Linked DNA regions of Saccharomyces cerevisiae S288C. The protein of the gene in region 3 interacts with the protein of the main gene of each other region in a biochemical or structural test. Each region holds a gene or a part of one and is shown on either strand. Other genes may lie near its edges.

Region 1 (3,884 bases), on a different chromosome or scaffold from region 3:
AATCCAAGCAACCTAACTCTGCTATCAGAAAGTGTGTTAGAGTTCAATTAATCAAGAACGGTAAGAAGGTCACTGCTTTCGTTCCAAACGATGGTTGTTTGAACTTTGTCGACGAAAATGATGAAGTCTTGCTAGCAGGTTTCGGTAGAAAGGGTAAAGCTAAGGGTGATATTCCAGGTGTTAGATTCAAGGTCGTTAAGGTCTCTGGTGTCTCCTTGTTGGCTTTGTGGAAAGAAAAGAAGGAAAAGCCAAGATCATAAGCACGAAAGTTATCCTCTCGAGGACTACATTGTTTTTGTACCTTAATGTATCTCTTTATTCTTCCAGAAAGTTCCTTCTAATTTCTTATTAGGAATGGGAGAGAATCACATCAATATTTTCTCTTTAATAGAATGTATAATTCAATAGAAAAAAACAACATAATTTGCACTTTATTTTGATGCTGAGAAAAGTTTTATAGTGAATGTCTGCTTCCCTTGGGTTGAAGTTCTGTTCATATACTAAGTTGGTTAATAATGCTATATATGTAATAGATCGATCTTTATACAATTCAGTCATTGATTTAAGTAACCTGATTACGTTTTATTTTTATATTTTTTTACAATTGCAGCATCTTTCTCTAAAACCTCATTTAAATATGTTATACCGCGTTGTTGATTCGTCAGAATTTCCACTATCTTATTAATACGATCATTAGATTCTTCACCGGTGCCTTTGGACATGCTGTCTTGGTTTTTTGTATCGTCGTTGAAAACCATTAATTTACTATCTAATTGACTAGAAATGTTTTTAGCACGTTCTTTTAAGATAGCCAAACGTGCCCAAAGTTCGTTAGTCTTACCTAAACCTGCAGGATCTTCGCTCCGCTGTAGTAAAGTTTGGAATTGCGACCACATTTTCTCTTCTGCAATACCCAATGGCAGTCCTCTATTTTTCAGGGTTGCCAATTGTGTGCCCAATTTTAAGATTCTTTTTTCAATTTCAACATTCCTTGATTGTGCCTTCAAAATTCTGGACGCAGTGTCCAATTCATGCTTTTGTTGCAATTGTGTGGATTTCTCTAAAATATGGTTCAAAATTATTCTAGCTTGGGCTACATTTTCAGTCTGTACTTGATTACGTTGATTCAAACCCTCAAATCCATATATTTGAATGGGAATTGTCTGAGGGGAAGGTTTCTTTTCCATTGCCTGATCCCACTCTTCTTGAAGTACATGTCCTGGTTTTGTATATAAAATGGCTTCCGTTTCGTTCACTTTATTGTACACGAAAGCCCTGAGTTTTGTTTTCGTTGTGTTTGGATCCCACGATTCTTTACATTTCAACACCTGTTCTTGAATTTGCTGCGGATAATTAGACAGCTGCTGTTGTTGAGCAATTGCTTGCGTTTGTTGCAACGGTACTTGAATTTGCTGCTGCTGCTGCTGCTGTAAATTAGATCCAGTTGAAGGCTTAGACCAAGCAAATGATGGTTGTGTGGATACCGTGTTTCCAAGTCCGGGCGCAGTGTTTGTTTGAGGCTGCTGGGATTGGCCAAAAAGGCCACCTCCCCCAAGGGTATTGTTATTCTGGGTGCCGCTTCCAAACAGGCCACCATTAGTTGTTGATCCTTGTGGCTTACTGCCAAATAGGCCTCCCGTAGTCGCTGTAGTATTCTGAGGCTTTGCACCAAAAAGTCCGCCTGCATTCATGTTAGATGTGTTTTGAGTGCTATTGCCGCCCATCAGTGAGCCAGTGGATCCTACTTTATTACCAAATAAACCCCCACTTGTGGTACTATTGTTTTGTGCACTGTTGCCGAAAAGACCTCCCGTTGTGGTAGTTGGCTTGTTTCCAAATAACCCACCTCCAATGGTGGATTGTTGAGGTTGTGCTGTTTGTTGCCCAAATAAACCTGTTCCAGTAGCTGTAGTTCCTGAAGCGGTAGTGCTTGAACTTCCTAGGCTGCCAAGAGCAGGCTTATTACCGAAAAGGCCTCCACCTGTACTACTTTGTTGGTTACTTCCAAAAGTATTTGTGGCCTGATTTGCACCAAACCCTCCGGTAGTAGCCGTCCCAGAATTTGGCTGGCTGCCCCCAAAACCAAATCCTGAAGCCGAAGGTTGAGTATTTGTATTGTTATTGTTTTGTCCAAATGAAAAACCGGTCGAACCAGCTGGTTTATTTCCGAACCCGTTATTACTACCGCTGAAACCAAACATGTGATCAATTGGTCAACAAGGTATGTCTTTTGTTACTAACGAGCGTTTCTGGAATAGTTTGAACGGGATAATCCTCGATTTAGTCTTTCAGTCCCTTTGGCAAAAAGTTGTTTACATCGACTTGGAGAGTTGGACTTTTGCTTTTACTCATTTCAAGAAACAAAATTTTTGAAAATAATCCATTTCGCGTACGTTCAAAATGATATAATTACACATTGGCAACAATTATTTAGATTATATCACGTAGCTATTGTACTATTTTCCTATGAGAGAACTGCTGTAGCCATGTGGGATGATCATGCGGGCAAAACTAAAATACTTATATCAGTCCACAATTGAAGTATGGAAAGTTTTCTCCCAACTATGCCGTTTTTATAATGGAGACTAATGTCAAAGATAGGTTTTGCAGGCTTGATGGGTTTTCAAGACACTTTTCGGTCAAGATTTTCAGTGAGATTTGAAATTCTTGCAGAAGGTCTTGATAGTCATTGCGCAGATGATGAATATATGGTGAATTGGAATCAGCACAAGACTCCAATATTCGACGAGATGCCGTAATCAACTTATACAACTGCTCAATCAGGCCAGAGCAAATTTCTTCTTCTAATGGTTCTATACCGCACATTTCATGGAGAGATTTACTCAATCTCTTTCCAAGTGAGAGCGCTTCTGTCAATTGTGAATGGTTACGCAGAGAGCCGTAAATCTCATCTAACTTCTTTAGGTATTCCAGGACATCCTTTATAATTTCTTGTGTATTGCTGATGTCATCCTTTATCAAATGATCTAATTGAGTCATAAATTTTTGAAGATCACTTTGTGTTTTCTCTAAATTTATTAGAGTTTCATTTTCTTCATCTGTATAGGTATTGGAAAAAGTCAGATAGTCGTCGTAGTTACTTCTTATTTGTTCTAATAATGTTTGTACCATTTTTTGTGAAAGTCCAGACAAATCTCTAATAAGGGAATCGAGAGGAAGGTAATGGAAATTTTTCTGCACTAGGAATCTGTCGACATCAAAGTTATCAACATCGGTCCCATTAGTCTCGGATTCACGATACTTCTCTATTTCTGTTGCGAATAACTCTTTCGATATTTCTGCGGTTACCGGTAAATCTAAGTCTAGTTCATCATCATTCAAAAAGTCCATTTCGCCCTGAGAGAAATTGCGACTATGACTGTTGACCATTCCCTTTTCATATTATTTATTATTCTATATTTTTTCTAAGCTTCATTTTCTTGTCCTGTTGAAAATTCCATGAAATCGAGGTAAAGGCCCGAGCAATAATAATTTTAATTTAAATAAGGCACCCTCATAAAAACGGTCTTACATCCCATTATACCTAAATACGTATTTTTTGGATCTAGAGTGTTAACTATTTCACGATTACCGGTTGGTGTACTCAAATAATTAAAATGTTGAGGACTAAGAGAGCCTATATTTTCTCGAGAACATAGTCAAAAAGACTCCATGGCCAAGTTGGTTAAGGCGTGCGACTGTTAATCGCAAGATCGTGAGTTCAACCCTCACTGGGGTCGTTTTTTGCTTGAAATGAGCAACATTGGAGGAAGATTTGTGAAATCCTCCAGTTTTCTTTTTTTCCTCTAGGTTTTAACGAATGTGATAAAAGATAACTAAATAGGAGGGTCATTAAAATGCTAGGTAACGTATAAACAATGCAC
Region 2 (3,508 bases), on a different chromosome or scaffold from region 3:
ACAAAACGGGAAATGCTCCTTTGTTAAGGTGCAAATCTGGCAAATTGGGCAAGAAATCATTACCAATGACGAACATGACAAGAATAAAATCATCCAAAATACGTTCAAAATTGTATTCAAATTGCATTTCATCGGCAATTTCTTTGAATTCCAACTCCATGTATTCTCTTAATAAAGAAAGATGTAATAAGTAGAAATTTTGATGTTCAAGCGATTTTTTTTCACTATTTCTTCTACCAAATGTCACTTCTTCTCTCAATAACGCAAAATGTGGCCCATGAGTAGACAAACCCAGCATAATCAAATCTGCGTCAAGACCGTAAATACAATGTCTCGTATTCTGGTTGAAATCCTTTTGGGATTTTAAATGCCTTATAAAGTTCATGATCTTGTGTTCACCTTCACCTGGAACTTCATGGCCAGAAAATATGATTTGCACTTCCCTCCATTTGGAATCGTTAGAAATCTTGTCGTGAATAAAATATTGTAAGTTTTTGGTCAATTTGGCCATAAACTCCGTACCTGGAGTAATAGAATTCGAATCAAATGGCTCACCCTTAGGAATCTCGTCACCATTCTCAATAGCCTTCTTCAAGGCTTTTTCTGCATCCATAGCGGTTCTGAATCTACGAGCTCTTTGTTGATTCATCTTGGCACGAGGGGCCACACCATCAATAGCCATGTAGAAAATCTTCTTGGGCTTGATTGTTTGAAAAAGGTGATCGATATACGTACAGATTTTTGCAAAAACCTCTTCTTCAGTTAATCGCTTGGTTACATCATCGTCGTTACCATGCGTACAATTATGTAAAATCGAATTCATATCCAGGTATAAGTTATCAAACTCAGGAATCTGTGTTCCCTCAATAAGCTGTAAAATCATGGGCCATCTTTCTGAGATGTACCTGAAAAATTTTGGAATACCCATACCGTACTGATATATATTTGTTGCTGCTGTTGTTACAAGTGTTGATTTTTTTTCTCCTTATAGTACACGAATCGTCCTAGGATTAGTCAATTGCTTATTGTGAACCCGATTATAAGTACGGAAGAAGACAGTATCCTTTAGAAAATAAACTATTAACAGGAACGGAAATAAAAGGCAGAGAGAAAATAATAAAAGAATCGGTTCGCTTGTGCGAACGCCAAACAGATTTTATAATAACGGAAGAGCTGCTGAAAAAAAAAGCAAGCTGCAACTGTTATATTTGCGTAGATAAACTTTACAACCGGTAATTGGAAGTCGTAAGTACTTAGTTTGACGTTTTCAGTACTCGTTAAACTACTCCTTAAATTGCTTTCTAACCTCTTCTTGTTTGTCTCTGTTGTTACTTGCTCTGCGGTGGCGAAAAGACGAGCAAAGGAGGTTGTATATATCACTCAACACGGAATGTATTACAGCTTTCTCAAATAAATGTAGTTGAAAAAGACCATTAATCGTGAGAATAGTTACTGATCAGGTGATGAGACGATAAAAACAGTAATTGAGAGGGTTTTCACGGGTAGTGGGCACAATGTTTGGATTAAATAAAGCATCTTCGACACCTGCAGGTGGGCTCTTTGGTCAGGCCAGCGGAGCTAGCACTGGAAACGCGAATACTGGGTTTTCGTTTGGTGGGACTCAAACTGGACAAAACACCGGCCCAAGTACAGGTGGACTATTTGGCGCTAAACCAGCCGGATCTACAGGAGGATTAGGTGCATCATTTGGTCAGCAGCAACAACAATCTCAGACAAATGCATTTGGAGGAAGCGCCACCACCGGAGGGGGCCTTTTCGGTAACAAACCTAACAATACGGCGAACACTGGGGGCGGGTTATTTGGCGCTAATTCGAACAGTAATTCTGGCAGTTTGTTTGGTTCCAACAATGCACAGACGAGTCGTGGTTTGTTTGGTAATAATAACACTAATAATATCAATAATAGTAGTAGTGGCATGAATAATGCAAGCGCTGGACTATTTGGCTCTAAACCTGCAGGAGGCACTTCTTTGTTCGGTAATACAAGCACCTCTTCGGCCCCTGCGCAGAACCAGGGCATGTTTGGTGCAAAACCAGCTGGTACATCTCTATTCGGCAATAATGCAGGTAATACGACCACTGGTGGAGGGTTATTTGGCTCCAAACCGACAGGAGCAACGTCTTTGTTTGGTTCATCAAATAACAACAACAATAACAATAATAGTAACAACATCATGAGTGCGTCAGGCGGGCTATTTGGTAATCAGCAGCAGCAACTGCAGCAACAACCACAAATGCAGTGCGCATTGCAAAATCTATCTCAGCTCCCTATTACCCCAATGACACGGATTTCCGAATTACCACCTCAAATACGTCAAGAAATTGAACAACTAGATCAATATATTCAAAAACAAGTGCAGATCTCGCACCATTTGAAGGCCGATACAATCGATCATGATGAATTGATAGATTCCATTCCTCGTGATGTTGCATACCTACTGAAGTCAGAATCTGCAACAAGTCAATATTTAAAGCAAGATTTGAAGAAAATATCCTCATTTAAATCGCTAATCGATGAGGACCTTCTAGACACGCAAACTTTTTCGGTGCTCTTACAGCAACTATTAACTCCGGGAAGCAAAATTTCTTCTAATGACTTAGACAAATTCTTTCAAAAGAAAATTCATCTCTACGAGAAGAAGTTAGAGGATTACTGCCGTATTCTCTCTGATATAGAAACTGCGGTAAATGGCATTGATACAGATTTATTTGGCGCCCCAAATAACCCTAATTCTACAGCTATCACAGCAGATCTAGGTTCATCCGAAGCAGAGAACCTACTGCAGTTGAAGACAGGCTTAGCTGCCATAGTCTCTACTGTCATTGAGGAATTCACACTGTTTATGGATATCGCTGAGAGAATCGCCGTGTTACATCAAAAAACGAAAACACTGGCATCATTGAGCATATGAGTAAATCGCCCTGAAAGTTTATATAGTGCGTATAACAAGTACAAATGTCTTGTACAAATGTAATTTATACTAAATGCAATAGAATATAACATCAATCACAGTTTTTCAGTCACCATAATGGCGTCTTAGAGGCCGAACTAACTTTTCTTCGTGAAAAATTTTTTGCGATGAGATGGGAAGGAAAAAAAGTAATATTGACATCTTCAATTGAGAGATATTACCTGCAAAAAGGTACATACGATAGTAGAAGTTATCGAACAGGCAAGCCACCATGGATATTTTTAGAGTATTAACTAGAGGAGCTTCCGTGAAGAAAGAGTCAGGCCCAAAGGCTAAGGCAGCAGATTACAGCGTTATAAATGGAAATGATGAGAATCATAAGGAAGATAATAATGAAAGCCAGATCGTGAAAGAACTTGATTTCTTTCGAAACAAGAGAATCATTAGCAAGGTAGAGGATGATAGAGAGAAGACAACCGAAAACGATTCTCCAAACAAAGAGGAGAAGAGCGGCAATGATGATGGTCTGATAAAACCAGTGATTACCAATACCGTTGAGGCATCCGCGTTGAGAA
Region 3 (5,119 bases):
TGGGCCTCGCGTATAATGGATTATCTAAGAGCCAATGTGATGATTTGGCCAAGTGGATGGTTCAATCAAAAGTGACAGGTCTAGACGTTGGTTTTAACGATTTGAATGGCAAACTTTCCTCTTTCACCGATGCTGTTTTAGGCAAAATACAAAAAGCTAACGAGAAAAACGTCTTCAAATTTTTATCTCTAAATGGGACAAATTTGAGAGTGAACGAACACGACACTTTTGAGAATAACGAGGTCTTAAAACTGATAAGCGTTTTATGTTATTTGGAAAATTTAAAATTCTTGGATATATCGAACAATCCTGCCATCTTCCCCCACTGTGTTCCGACGCTGATTGATTTTTTACCTGTTTTTGTTAATCTTGTCCGTCTGCATATCGACTACAATAATTTAAGTTCCACGAGTGTAGTGATGCTGGCCGAAATATTACCCATGTGTTCAAGATTGAATTATTTTTCCATGTTAGGAACGGAATTGGATTTGGCATCGTCTAAAGCTCTAGCAGAGGCGGTGAGGAAAAGTTCATCTTTGATGACTTTGGACGTGGACTATGTGTATATGCCAGAGAACATTAAGGAAAAAATTTCATTATATGCTTTAAGAAATATTCAAGGGGAGTTGAAAAGGGTTAATAGTGACGATAAAGATATCAAAGATAGCCAATTTTCAAGCCTACAGGACCAACTATCACTTTTATTAACTGAAAAAGCGGATAATTCCGAACATTACAACAAAATGGTTGAGAATTTCATGGCCAAAATCGCGTTGGCACGTATCAAGATTAGTAAAGTGGTTCATGATCTTTTTGATTTAAAACTGAATGGACAATTAAATTTGGAAGGTAAGGAAGCTTTGATTAGATTATGCTTCATAGAGGCAAGTTTGGAAAGAGGCTGTGACCTGCTGAAACAAAGACATAACAACACTTTGAAATCACCAGAGGCCGTCTCAAAAAGTCGGAAAGGGGGAAATCAAGCACAACCCAATTCCGAAAGCTGTCAAAGAATGTTACTAAGCTCATCTATATTACAAAATTCAGATCATATTGCGCTTATGCCATTCGGTAGTGCAATAGTCGAAAAGTCAAGCCCAGATGCAGAAGATGCCGTCGAATTCAGAGAAGGTGACGACTCCAACGTAAATCACGAAGACGTACCAGCAAATGATCAACAATTTCGAGATGAAGTTGATATCAAAAACAAATACTCTATCATTAAAAGAGAACTAGAACACGAAAAGCTTGTCGGTGGTGGCGATTTGCCAGTGGACAAAGAAATCTTAAATCGTGCCGCACAATCCTTAGATAGTGACCAGATAAAGGAATTTCTGTTGAAGAATGACGTCTCTACTATCCTTGGCGTCATTGATGAACTGCATAGCCAAGGGTACCACTTGCATCATATTTTCAAAAAACAGGGAAACCAAGAAGAGACCGCGTTCAGAACAAAGGATGAACAACAGTCCTCCCAATCCAATGATTCAAGTGCTAATGCGTCCCCTACCACTGATCCGATATCCACAGGCTCCAATACTTCTAGAACGAACGATAATGCTCATATTCCTCCGACCGATGCGCCTGGATTTGATAAATTTATGAACAATGCAGAGGAAAATGCCATTGACGCTGCTTATGATGATGTGCTAGACAAAATCCAGGATGCGCGGAACAGTAGTACTAAATAATAAGGGATTTCTCTTAATTTTTTAATCTCTTTTTTGTATTGGGTTTCGAAAATATAATAAGGAGCCCTCAGACATTTACGTATCCTTTCATGTATGATTATTTTAAGTATTTTGTATTTTTTATTATTATTAATGTAAGCATAATGCTTTTGTAGAACTTGAGACAACCCGGACGGGTCCGATGAGTTTTTTTCTTCAAACTTTTATAGAAAATAATAAATGGTGTTAGCACCACTCAGATGTGATATTTGACGTGTCGATTGTGATACCTGAAGACGCTATTGGAGAGCCATTGCAACGCACAGTCCAACAGTAATAAGCTCTGATCGTTTTGAAAAAGTATGTTTCTTTCCATTGGACGGTTGTCTTCCGATCAAAATTTTATCTCCTATACAATTTCTTCCTATTTACTAACGAAAACCTGCGAACCTGTAAACTACATGATTTTTAATATTAGTGAACTTCAATACACCTCAACAAAACAAAACGCCCTTTTCGTTCGGGACTGCCAACAATAACTCTAACACCACCAATCAGAATTCCTCTACTGGTGCGGGCGCCTTCGGAACAGGTCAATCAACATTTGGTTTCAACAATTCTGCGCCAAATAACACGAACAATGCAAACTCTTCAATCACACCTGCATTTGGTAGCAATAACACTGGTAATACTGCATTCGGTAACAGTAACCCCACAAGTAACGTTTTTGGCAGCAACAATTCTACGACTAATACATTTGGTAGTAATAGTGCAGGGACATCCCTTTTTGGATCTTCCAGTGCTCAACAAACGAAGAGCAATGGAACTGCTGGAGGAAATACATTTGGTTCTTCATCCTTATTCAATAACAGTACTAATAGCAATACGACAAAACCTGCGTTCGGCGGTTTGAATTTTGGCGGCGGCAATAACACAACTCCTAGCTCGACCGGTAATGCTAACACAAGTAATAACTTATTTGGCGCTACCGCAAATGCGAATAAGCCAGCCTTTTCCTTTGGTGCAACCACTAACGACGATAAAAAAACAGAACCAGACAAGCCTGCTTTCTCCTTTAATTCAAGTGTCGGTAATAAGACAGACGCTCAAGCTCCCACTACAGGATTTTCCTTTGGTTCACAACTAGGTGGAAACAAAACGGTTAACGAGGCTGCAAAGCCTTCCCTTTCATTTGGTTCAGGATCAGCTGGTGCTAACCCAGCTGGAGCTTCGCAACCCGAACCTACAACTAATGAACCAGCAAAACCAGCCCTCTCTTTTGGTACTGCAACATCCGACAATAAGACAACTAACACAACCCCAAGTTTTTCGTTTGGTGCTAAATCGGATGAAAATAAAGCTGGTGCTACTTCTAAGCCTGCCTTCTCATTCGGTGCTAAGCCAGAAGAAAAGAAGGATGATAATTCCTCAAAACCAGCTTTCTCATTTGGTGCCAAATCAAATGAAGACAAGCAAGATGGAACGGCTAAGCCAGCATTTTCCTTTGGTGCCAAGCCCGCGGAGAAGAATAACAATGAAACCTCCAAGCCGGCATTCTCTTTTGGAGCAAAGTCTGATGAGAAAAAGGATGGTGATGCCTCTAAACCTGCCTTCTCTTTTGGCGCTAAACCGGATGAAAATAAAGCTAGTGCTACTTCTAAGCCTGCCTTCTCATTCGGCGCTAAGCCAGAAGAAAAGAAGGATGATAATTCCTCAAAACCAGCTTTCTCATTTGGTGCCAAATCAAATGAAGACAAGCAAGATGGAACGGCTAAGCCAGCATTTTCCTTTGGTGCCAAGCCCGCGGAAAAGAATAACAATGAAACTTCCAAGCCGGCATTCTCTTTTGGAGCAAAGTCCGATGAGAAAAAGGATGGCGATGCCTCTAAACCTGCCTTCTCATTTGGTGCTAAATCGGATGAAAAAAAGGACAGTGATTCTTCGAAGCCTGCCTTCTCATTTGGTACTAAATCGAATGAAAAAAAGGACAGTGGTTCTTCGAAGCCTGCCTTCTCATTCGGTGCTAAACCCGATGAAAAGAAGAATGATGAAGTCTCCAAGCCTGCCTTCTCATTCGGAGCAAAGGCTAACGAAAAGAAAGAAAGTGATGAATCAAAATCAGCCTTTTCATTTGGTTCTAAGCCTACAGGAAAGGAGGAAGGCGATGGGGCGAAGGCTGCCATTTCCTTTGGTGCTAAACCCGAAGAACAGAAATCCAGTGATACGAGCAAGCCAGCGTTTACTTTTGGTGCTCAAAAAGATAATGAGAAGAAAACAGAGGAATCTTCTACGGGGAAGTCAACCGCAGATGTCAAATCAAGTGATAGCTTGAAATTAAATTCTAAACCAGTAGAATTGAAGCCAGTTTCTCTCGACAATAAAACACTGGACGATTTAGTAACGAAATGGACTAACCAACTAACAGAATCGGCCTCTCATTTTGAACAGTATACCAAAAAAATTAATAGTTGGGATCAGGTACTAGTGAAAGGAGGTGAACAAATTAGTCAGTTATACTCAGATGCTGTGATGGCGGAACATAGTCAAAACAAAATAGATCAATCTCTACAATATATCGAGAGGCAACAGGATGAATTAGAAAACTTCTTAGACAATTTTGAAACCAAGACAGAGGCACTTCTGTCCGATGTTGTGTCTACAAGTTCAGGTGCTGCGGCCAACAATAATGACCAAAAAAGACAACAGGCCTATAAGACAGCCCAGACTTTGGACGAAAATTTAAACTCGTTGTCATCCAATCTTTCTTCTCTAATAGTAGAAATCAACAATGTTAGTAATACATTCAACAAAACCACTAACATCGATATAAACAATGAAGACGAAAATATTCAACTAATCAAAATCTTGAATTCACATTTCGACGCTTTAAGGTCACTAGACGATAACTCCACCTCTCTGGAAAAACAAATCAACTCGATAAAGAAATGATCTAAAAGAAAAAATTCCCTCTATTCTACACTTATTTGACATAGGATGTGCTATATTAAATAATTATATATAGGTATCAAAATGTACGCGATGGTTCAGAACCTGCAATTAATTTAACACCTCAATCATACTTGTTTTTTTCCTTTTTCAAGAAGTTTTTGTAATGTGTCGTGCCGATCTGTAAACGACCTGGATTTTTATTTCATTAGACAGTAAATACGCACCAAATCAGAACCAAAGAAAGGCTTCTGTAGTGTATGAAACTAAAAGCCACTTTTTGTGATAGTTTCTTCTTAGTACTTAGTACACAACCAAATATTTTGCAAAATGAAATCGATTCCTAAAAGTAATTCTTAAAAGTGATAATGAATGACTTAATCGTTATTTTGATATCCTGTTAATGTGCATAACATCACAATTAGCTTCACCATTTCGTTTAAACTTTGGTTATTAGGATCCGACGAATTTTTCTTATCTTCTTTTTCCCTCAAAAGATCTCT

What was found. Proteins that work in one complex are often made in the same cells at the same time.
Region 1: the proteins of NSP1 (region 3) and NUP57 form a complex in vitro, tested with the Saccharomyces cerevisiae proteins (4 studies listed by BioGRID, with this or other methods).
Region 2: the proteins of NSP1 (region 3) and NUP49 form a complex in vitro, tested with the Saccharomyces cerevisiae proteins (3 studies listed by BioGRID, with this or other methods).

Annotation. Positions count from the first base shown.
Region 1 is NC_001139.9:727,471-731,354, forward strand, and holds NUP57 (FG-nucleoporin NUP57), read right to left. Parts: upstream 2,202-3,884; coding exon 576-2,201; downstream 1-575. Other genes in the region: 40S ribosomal protein uS12 RPS23A, read left to right, coding at 1-260; Golgi transport complex subunit COG2, read right to left, coding at 2,563-3,351. UniProt on the Saccharomyces cerevisiae protein: Functions as a component of the nuclear pore complex (NPC).
Region 2 is NC_001139.9:179,186-182,693, forward strand, and holds NUP49 (FG-nucleoporin NUP49), read left to right. Parts: upstream 1-1,514; coding exon 1,515-2,933; downstream 2,934-3,508. Other genes in the region: chromatin-binding exonuclease XRN1, read right to left, coding at 1-928; RNA-dependent ATPase ROK1, read left to right, coding at 3,205-3,508. UniProt on the Saccharomyces cerevisiae protein: Functions as a component of the nuclear pore complex (NPC).
Region 3 is NC_001142.9:363,755-368,873, forward strand, and holds NSP1 (FG-nucleoporin NSP1), read left to right. Parts: upstream 1-2,029; coding exon 2,030-2,030; intron 2,031-2,148; coding exon 2,149-4,619; downstream 4,620-5,119. Other genes in the region: MHP1 (Mhp1p), read left to right, coding at 1-1,691; NUP192 (Nup192p), read right to left, coding at 4,994-5,119.